Linked DNA regions of Saccharomyces cerevisiae S288C. The protein of the gene in region 1 interacts with the protein of each later gene in a biochemical or structural test. Each region holds a gene or a part of one and is shown on either strand. Other genes may lie near its edges.

Region 1 (5,453 bases):
TGCAATTTCATCTCCTTTGTGTTTTACTTTGCCGACGTACTTGCACTAGACTCGCTGTGTTTTTTTTCTGTTGTTTTGTTGTTATGCTGTTCTTTAGCTCAAAAAATTGGCCACTGTTCCCCGCTCTGTAAATTAATTGCTCTTAAAGAAACAAAAATGATTAAAAAAAATTAGAAATATTTGAGATAATAAGAACATCATTCAGGTCGCCCATATTCACAATTATTTACAGACTGTATTTTAATGAAGAATGTGTGCATAACTTGATGGTACCTATTCAATATAAAATTTGATAAATAAATAATATTATAAAAATGTCTATGTAATTATTATAAAGCTCTAGAGTATGTATGAGTTGTTACACATAGCATTCCAATGAGTACTTGCTTTTTTCTTCGTTCTTTAGACATTTCAGAAGAATATTCTTTATCTTGTCATTGTTACTGCAACTACTATTATAGTATTATTAGTATTATTGTTGGTATTGTTACTATATATTTACGCTTAAAAACTCCAAATTCAGACCCCAAAATATAATTTAAATAAACATTATCATTTCCCCTCATTCCCGTTGACCTCATGAACTAGCGGTGAATTATGTACTTTTCTTCTGTATTCTAGAACTATGTCACCCTGAGATTTCCAGTAAAGTGTTCTAACGGTATTTAAAGTCATATCGTTATCAAGCACTTGGCCCCTACATAGTAGATCCAACCAAAGACTAGGTTCCATTTTTGCTTTCATTTCAGGAGTTTTCGTTTCAAATCTGTCAGCGACGTAAAGTTTAATTTTTTTCACCCTAATCATTCCAGGCGCAACCAGCTTGACATTCGCCTCAGAGATTCTCGGTAAATCTGTGGGGTTTAACTCCTGCTCGCTGGTCTTCGGACGGCCAAACTTTAGCATATTATGGAACTGTTGCTGTGTTGATGGGGAAACGGCTTCATTACCATTTCCAAGGCTGCTATCGCTACTATCGTTGCCAGAAGATTCTGTGGTATCTGATGCACTAATAAACTTCTTCTTGTTTTCATTGCCAGCTGCCTCACTCCCACCAACAGAAGACCATGGCATGATTAAGAAGTTCAACTTTGGTTGCTCTTCCACCGTCTTAATATCTCTAAATAAAGCTTTTGCAAACCAGTAGGGCAAATTTTCCTCCAATTGCTCAAAAATTTGCCTTCTGTTGAGTCTGCTTCCTAACTCGCCATCAATAAGATCATATTTTCCTAATTTGTCATCATCTACAGCTTGAAGGTCTACTTCTTCATCATCTGGCGGTTTGGAATTTTCTTTGCCGCCGCTGACGGTTTCATTATCGACATGAGATGGCGGTAATAGGGTGGAAAATAATACCCTGCCACCACATGAGCCTTCCTTCCAAAGATGGACCAAAACTAACGTGGCAGATTTTACTCTAATAATTGGACATGAACTAGCCTTGATTATCTTGGTGACTGGAAGCCTCTTCGTCAGGTATTTTAGAGAAGAAGTATTCATATATTGTTGCTTGTAAGACTCTTGAATTTGCTCCAGTAAATCGGGCATGAACTCAGGCTTCTTCTTTTCGTTGCCTTCCAAGGTTGACGTGGAATTCGCCCTTGAGTTTTCAGATGATCTTAGTTTGTTATGAGTGTTGTTACTCGGTAAATCTTGTGATGAAATAGCGGATAGTTTTTGCTCTAGCTTGAAAGGATGATTCCATAACATAGATTCTGGAGTTGCATCCTTAGACTGCTGAGTTGTATTGATAGCTTGAGGGAAGGCCGAGTCATCATTAATAACGTGCGGAGTATCTGGCAGAATTCCTTTGGGCTCCTCTGGAGTGTTTAACCCTGTTGTGGCACGACCAGAAGTAGACCTAAATGATTTGAACTTTCTACTTAACAAGGAGCCAGAGCTCTGCGTTCTAAAATATGGCTTTTTGGATGCAGGCAATGGTTGCACGAGTTCTAAAGAGTCATCTATTGCTTTATCAGAAGCTGACTGCAACAATGGTTGTTCTTCTAATACTATAGTCTCTGCCATTACCGGGGTTGCAGGTGCCGAATTTGGTGGAGTTCCACTGCTGTTGGTATTTCCAATGGACAGAGTTGAACTAATTTTGAAGGTTGATTTTCTCTTTTTATCTTTATTATTCTTTTTTGATTCACTGTTATATCCCGTATCCAAGGTTAATGAATTGGTTAAGTCTTTTTTCTTCAAACTAAAAATTTTCTTCCTTAAAAGTTTATCCTTTTGGACTTCATATGATATGAACTCATTGAAAAGCGAATTAATAACAATTTTACCCAAATTATATCTCTCATCTGAGTTAATTTCAATATTGTTCACAACCTGATAATCCTTTAGCGCGGATCCATAAACTTCAGTTTTCAGAAATTTTGGGTTTATTTTTACGAACAGCATACCGACCTTAACGGAAACAGTACACCAATGAGATAGAATTTCCTTTGAGGTGTATTTCATTACAATATCATCAAATGAACCTTCTGATGAATCAAAAGTATTCAAAAGCTCACATGAAACGATATCCCATCTCTGCATTTGGCCTTTAGTGTTTTCCGTTATTACATGCCTCCTGTTGGTTAGCAGTGAGCTTCTGGTCAGTGCGAACCCACCTTCGTTGACACTGAAATGGTTATTAGTTAAATCGAGCACGTTTAGATTTGAGTCAGTACAAAAAGAAAACAACAATTTTTCATTAGGTAAAAGGGCAATATCAAGGATACCACCATATTTTTTTACTTTCGCATCTGTAGTTGATATATTTTGCTCTTCGTGTTCATGGTGATGATGATGATGGTGGTGATGATCAGGCTTGAAAATTCTTGTAAGTTTAGCATCTTCATAACTGGATAAGTTTGCTCTCATAACATTGCCCTGAGAGTCACCAAAATACAACTTATCAAGGCTCGTTCCTTGGACACACCATATGGAAGAATCCCAGGACCAAGATCCAATTTTTTTGGGAAGCTGAAGGGCACCAGTAGTCTGATCATGCCTACAATTCAAGTCCCATACATTTATTACACCATCTGAGCTGGTACTGATTAGTCGTGTGGAGTCATCAAGAGTTCTTACTACTTTTATATTTGTTCTGTGGGCGTTTTGAATTCTTATCACCTCCTTACGATATTTACACGAATAAAAAATCAAATCACCATTACAGTCTCCGGCAACAAAATCAAAGGGACGAGACGTTTGATTGTCATCAAAACTGTATTTTGGGATGATGGGACTCATGGAGTATATTGAGCCTGTGTCGTTTGATTGTGCATTATCAAATGTGTGTAGTAGCGTAGCCATTTTTTCTGGCCCGCTGCTCAGGCACCAAAGTTTGATTTTTCTATCTAGACCACCTGTCACAAAAAGAAAGTTGTTCTGTTCATCAACAACAATGCCATTATTTATTCCATCGTGTACATTATCAGGACCACCCTCTTGTTCTTCCAATTCATAGTCATTTGACATTTCATAATGTATGGGCACTATGCACTTGATATAATCGTCGTGGTCACCGATTATTTTCTTATCCCAGGTAGTTAACTGCGCATTCACACTAATTAATACTATCGAAAAATCGTGACTTACTGATATGAATGTGTCCCCTGCAGATGGGTCTGAATTTTTCATATTAACATGTATTAGATCGCTTGCCCAATCGCTATGAACTTGCATTCTTATCGCATCGTTTTTTATGGTAGTTGCAGCAGTCTCAGGCTCGTTCGAGAGCTGTGTGTTCTTGTGCAAAATTATGGAACCATCCCTTCCTGAAGTAAGAAAATAGTTTTTACCAGGTATATCCGGGTACAGAATCTTTGTTATCGGTAAGATGTGCGCATCTTGGGAAGTGCAGTAATCTGGGGAAATTAGGCCATAACTCACTGTCAACTGATTCATTATTACCTTTCTATTTTCTCCGGCTTTTTATTGGCTTGCTCTTCTAAAGTCAGAAAAGCGTAGATTTGCTAGAATGTATCGTTTCCTCGTTAGGAATGGCTTGAACTAATTCCTGTATCTATGCAATTGCAATCCAACTACACTTATACGACGTCAAAAGGAAGGGGCGGAGCGTTCTAATTGTAGTTGCAAAAAGCGATGTAGTCGTTCTTCAAGTAGTAATTAATACCAGGATAGGACACGGTGTTATGGTGCTGGTAGTTACTTGTTATAATGTTATTATTGGGCAAAAAGAGAGTTCACTGTTTAACAATAGCAATGGGGTTTTTTTCAGTATACATTTGAACTGCAATGGAATTTGGGCGGAGGGAGCAGTAAAGGGGCGATCAGAGTTGAAAAAAAAATGCTGCCGTAAAAAAAGCATGCACGTATACACTTGAGTAAATATATTTATGTATTCATATCTCAAGATAAGATCATGATACATAAAAGCGATATAACGTCTTGAAGCTCAGGTAAGGGGCTAGTAGATGCAATGAATGACGATGAAGATAGAGCCCAACTGAAGGCTAGGCTGTGGATCCGTGTGGAAGAACGATTACAACAGGTGTTGTCCTCTGAGGACATAAAATACACACCGAGATTCATCAACTCATTGCTGGAGTTAGCATATCTACAATTGGGTGAAATGGGGAGCGATTTGCAGGCATTTGCTCGGCATGCCGGTAGAGGTGTGGTCAATAAGAGCGACCTCATGCTATACCTGAGAAAGCAACCTGACCTACAGGAAAGAGTTACTCAAGAATAAGAATTTTCGTTTTAAAACCTAAGAGTCACTTTAAAATTTGTATACACTTATTTTTTTTATAACTTATTTAATAATAAAAATCATAAATCATAAGAAATTCGCTTATTTAGAAGTGTCAACAACGTATCTACCAACGATTTGACCCTTTTCCATCTTTTCGTAAATTTCTGGCAAGGTAGACAAGCCGACAACCTTGATTGGAGACTTGACCAAACCTCTGGCGAAGAAGTCCAAAGCTTCTCTGGTGTCAGCTCTGTTACCGACGTAAGAACCAACAATAGAGATGGACTTGACGACTTGGTTGAAGACATCAGAACAACACTTGGCACCAGCTGGCATACCGACCAAAACGGTGGTACCGTTAGCTCTAACGTATCTGGTAGAAGCTTCAATAGCGGCTTCGGAAACGGAAACGTTGATGACACCGTGAGCACCACCGTCAGTGGCCTTTAGAACAGCACCGACAATGTCCTTTTCCTTAGTGAAGTCAATGAAGACTTCACCACCGATGGATCTGAATAATTCTTCCTTACCTTCACCACCGTCAATACCCAAGACTCTGTAACCCATAGCCTTGGCGTATTGAACAGCCAAAGAACCTAGACCACCAGCAGCACCGGAGATAGCAACCCAGTGACCGGCCATCAAGTTAGCAGACTTCAAAGCCTTGTAGACGGTGATACCAGCACACAAGATGGGGGCGACTTGGGCCAAGTCGGTACCTTGAGGAATGTGAGCGGCT
Region 2 (4,718 bases), on another chromosome or scaffold:
TTATCAAGAATTGTTTGCACCAACACGGTACCTGTTGATTTGGATTTGGACATTGTCGATCAGGTGGATATCAGCCCTACGATTGCAGAAGCTATCAGAAGATTGCATAATGGAGAATCAGTCTCATATTTATTTACACATGCGCCTGTTTAAAGAAGAGGTATAAACGAATATATTTGTATAAATGTACTAACAGATATTTTGAAAAAAAATGCGTATATCTATTCAGTATTAGCGCTTATGCTGCCACCAATATTCTTCATCTGGTCTCTATGAGATTTTCATTAAAGCTTAATCTTTTCTGATTTACCGCCCTTGCTTTTGGAAAATATGTGAAATTTTATTGTGCTCTAAAAAAAAAAAGTTATTACAGTAGGTGAAGTGAAATACAACTAAATTCGAAAGATCAGGAACAATAGAAAGAAACGTGGAAATTATTTAAAAAAGGAAGAAAAAATGGTACACTAATATTGATACTTTTAGAACAGATGGGTCTCAACTATATGATGTATCGAAACAATCCCGATTTATTTGATGAAGCTCAATATTCTCGATTTTCTTTTTTGCTTATTGCGTTTTTTATCATTTAATGGCGTCTTGGTTTCTGCAGTCTTAACTTCAGGTATATTCCCCAAGGTCTTTTTGCGTTCAATATTTGCAGCTGCCCTCAATTTACGATCCCTTAACCAATCATCGCATTTTATTAACTGTTCAATGTTATTGTCAGTCTGCATTTGATCTTGACTAGAAGTGTCTATATTTTCATTTTGATTTTCGGTCTTATCAGCCTGTGTTTCTTTATAGAATAAAACGTAGGCTGTAGTTTGATCACCTGGATGACCTGTGAATTGTAACACAGTTTCTTCTTTTATGGATTCCACCGTTTCGTCATCATACAAAAGCCACCCAAACTTTTCGTTCCTGCAAATGCATACGTAATGACCATGCTGTGGACCGCTCCCCATATGGATGACGACGCCGCTTAGTTCATATTTTTTATATACTGATGTATTAAAAGTGGAAGAAACATCCAAAGTTAGTGGATAGAGTATTTTGTTAAAAAGTTTGATGTTTGACTTTTGCTCCTCTGAATACTTGAATCTTTTTAGGTGCAATGACAGAATATGGGGCAGTTGCTTCAGTCCGACCATACGTTCTGCTTCTTGTAAACCATAACATTTGTTACAATAAAATTTGTTAACCCCGTTCAACATCTCACGCTGATGATAGCTTTTTAACATCTTCTGGATATCAGTCTCTTCATCACCCTGTACTTCTATTGGAAAGTCTAAAAATGGTTCGTCCCTTGAGGTGATATTGTCACAAGTTAAACATTTGATCCTATTCGTCAGTGTACCTTTGAATAAATCCGTTATAAAGTTGTCGTTGCTGTTGTCTGTCTTTTGTGGTCCGAATCTCATTCTGGGATTATTGCGTTGAATATATTCACTGAAATCATTTAATAAAAAGTTTAAAAATTCATGGGCATCTTGTTGCATCATAGTGTTGAACAAGACGTTTTCTTTTTTTAAAATTTTGACAAACTCTGTAGGTGAAACGATACCGGTTAGCGACAAGTTTTCAGTAATAGACTCAAATATATCTTTTAGTCCATTGTAAAGTGTAGCTTCCTCGGTTGGATAAAGTAAATGATCTACGTTAAGAACGGGGCCTCTAATTAAAGCGGCTTTTTTTCTTTGTTCACTTGTTGGAAACGTATTCTCTTTATTATTATTAGAATTGTTGACAGCATCGTTACAGCTCTCAGGGTTAACAAGGACATCATCATCCACTGATGTAATCCTACTGCCTTGTGAATCACACTGGCAATGCGAATTTGCTTGACAATCTGTAGTTGAAGCTTTTGATAAGGAATCGCTTTGCTTTAAAAGCGGTCTTCCCACAATAATTTTTTTACAGCCTTCGTGAAGCTTCTCTGTTAATGTATCAGAGGCCATTACAACTGTGTGAACAGGCTGAGGCCGTTCCATCTCATTGTTATCATCTTTCTTTGCAGAATCTTTATAGTTCGATTTATCTTTTCCAAAACCCATAAACGAGTTCCTTTTTCTTTCAAAATTATTCTGTTTTTCTTGAGTAGAAGAAGAGGAGTTATCTTGATCACTCTGCTGAAGGTGGTGGTGGTTATGTGCATCTTCATTATCATTGCTTTGGTACCCCGTATTAGAATTTCCGCTATTAGTAGATGTTTCAAAACTTTCATTAGTGAATACCCTTATTTTTGAACCCTTCAAATCACTTTTGCGTATTCTGTTTACTGCGGCTACTCTTTCAGGATATCGCAGCACATTACACCTAAATTCGGGGATATTATAAAGGCATTGTAGAACGGAGTTGCAGTAGCAAGTATTCCCAAAATTTTCATAACCAAACACTTTATTGGAACCATCCCCATATGGCATTAAATCTGTAATAGTAGTAAATAGTATGGAGGACTCTGTATCGAACGCACGATCTTCATATGTAGTCGAGGAATCGTACTCTCTTTCATCTGAAGTACTTGCCATATTATGGTAATGCTCATGGTAATGTTTATTTCCTGCAAGGTTATCCGTTTGACTACTAAACTTGCTTCTTCTTTCATGGCTCGCAAGATTAGAAGGTATGCTTGATGTACTACTCTTAGCACTTGGTGATTTCGCTATGGAGGGATCTCCAGAACCTTTCGTTTTCTTCAGGCTAGTTGCTTTCCGATTAATTTCGTCATTACCTTGAGTGTTCTTCTCCGGGTGTGACTTTTTCCTATTCACAGATAACCATCTTTTTATCATTTTTCATATGGAAGACTCGTTGCCTTTGGTAAATGTTTTAATTTTCTGTTTATTACTGATAATGCAAATACTTTTTTAAGGATCGAGCTAAGGTTTTCGACACATTCAAGCTTGTTCAAGCGAAAGGTTGAGTTCGCCCCTAGAAGTTTAATAAAATCGGAAGTTCCAAATACAGCTTCGATGGACCTTATTGAATGCAAGAGAAACGTTTTCTTGTGGGGGGGGCGTATATCGTTTGGAAAGGAACAGAAGTGCAACTTTTTCAACCCATAATAGAAATCGCGCATTGACATTAATAAACGCGATTTCCGGGGTAAAAACCGCATATAAAGTATATATGGCGTACAGGAGCCCAACTGCTTTTTCTTTTGCTGAAGGACAATTGAGATACGACAGCGTGATGCTTTGTTGGAAGGTGGCTCCTAACCCCATACATACACTGTATGATGTCAAAAAAGTACTCCGATACGGGGAGTCGAACCCCGGTCTCCACGGTGAAAGCGTGATGTGATAGCCGTTACACTATATCGGATTACAATACACGTATGTGTTGCATCTCAAAATGGAATACGTCAGTATGACAATACCCACCTAAAATATTCATAAAACACATATTGAGATGTTGGTGAATTTTAAAATAATTGTTGGGATTCATTGTTCGTAAACGCTATAATATTGCGTATACAGAATATACTAGAAGTCTCCTCGAGATATGGAATCCATAAAAGGAGAATCTGTTGGAACGAGAGTAATTAATAGTGACATGAGTTGCTATGGTAACAATCTAATGCTTACATCGTATATTAATGTACACCTCGTATACGTTTAAGTGTGATTGCGCCTATTGCAGAAGGAATGTTAAACGAGAAGCTCAGACAATACTGAAGCTGTGTTAAACACCTATTAGTTGAACATGTTATGGTAGGTACATATATGAGGAATATGAGTCGTCACATCAATGTATAGTAACTACCGGAATCACTATTATATTGGTCATGATTAATATGACCAATCGGCGTGTGTTTTATATACCTCTCTTATTTAGTATAAGAAGATCAGTAATTATTTCTTCATTAATACTATTTTTTTACCTCTAATTATCAACAGAATCGATAAATCTACATATTGTTGTTATTCTTTTTTCTTCCATTTTATATGTTCTCGTTTATTATTCTATCACGATCTGAGTCCCTGCATTTCGGCCTCCATTAAATTTGATGAGTGTTTCTCAATTTTTTATGTCATCTTCCCGCACCGTATATGATTGTATACCAGTATTATGAATATCAGTACACTAGTTGATAGATGATGGCTGATTCCTATTCCAAGAAAGTTTTACTTAAACTTTTATATTTCTACTATAGGTTCTTGTCTGAGTAACGGAAACCACCTGCTCTAACAAAATCTTAGTTTAGTTCAAGGTTACATTTGCTGCATAATCGTTGTGGTTCTGGAGTTTTATCCCGCAACGAAATTCTAATCTATGGTTGAAATTTAATTATGGAAAAACTCATTTATGATGCTAAGCAAACAGGTCTTAGTGTGAGGGGGCATTGATCTTGAAAAATAGTCAATCCTACCCGCAGAAATTACTCCACAAAGGTCTGAAAGGAGACGCTGTTGCGTATTTGATCAATGAGGTGTATACCTCTTATCTTAAGCGGTATATAATAGCTTTATATCCCGATACTTGAATTATGCTTATGTAGGAAGAAGTGACACTGATTGCTCATTTGTGCCATTATAATGTAAGCGTTTGTTTTACAAGTGTTAGTGAAGGTACAATGTATGTTATTATTTTTTTTCTTCATCGTTTCTTTTCAAAAGGATGAGATTTTGTTTTAAAATATTACAGATTTCCGCACCAAAAAGTAAATATTATGAAAAAGACACATTAATTTCAACGCTGGGAAAGTAAATAAGTAT

The links.
Region 2: the proteins of DUF1 (region 1) and UBP9 form a complex in vitro, tested with the Saccharomyces cerevisiae proteins (one study listed by BioGRID).

The regions. Positions count from the first base shown.
Region 1 is NC_001147.6:154,735-160,187, forward strand, and holds DUF1 (Duf1p), read right to left. Parts: upstream 3,904-5,453; coding exon 553-3,903; downstream 1-552. Other genes in the region: protein disulfide isomerase MPD2, read right to left, coding at 1-11; MHF1 (Mhf1p), read left to right, coding at 4,439-4,711; alcohol dehydrogenase ADH1, read right to left, coding at 4,814-5,453. UniProt on the Saccharomyces cerevisiae protein: Ubiquitin-binding protein involved in the resistance to phenanthroline, sanguinarine, nordihydroguaiaretic acid (NDGA), isopropyl (N-3-chloro-phenyl)-carbamate (IPCPC) and guanosine 5'-O-(2-thiodiphosphate).
Region 2 is NC_001137.3:353,540-358,257, reverse strand, and holds UBP9 (putative ubiquitin-specific protease UBP9), read right to left. Parts: upstream 2,793-4,718; coding exon 528-2,792; downstream 1-527. Other genes in the region: ribose phosphate diphosphokinase subunit PRS2, read left to right, coding at 1-153.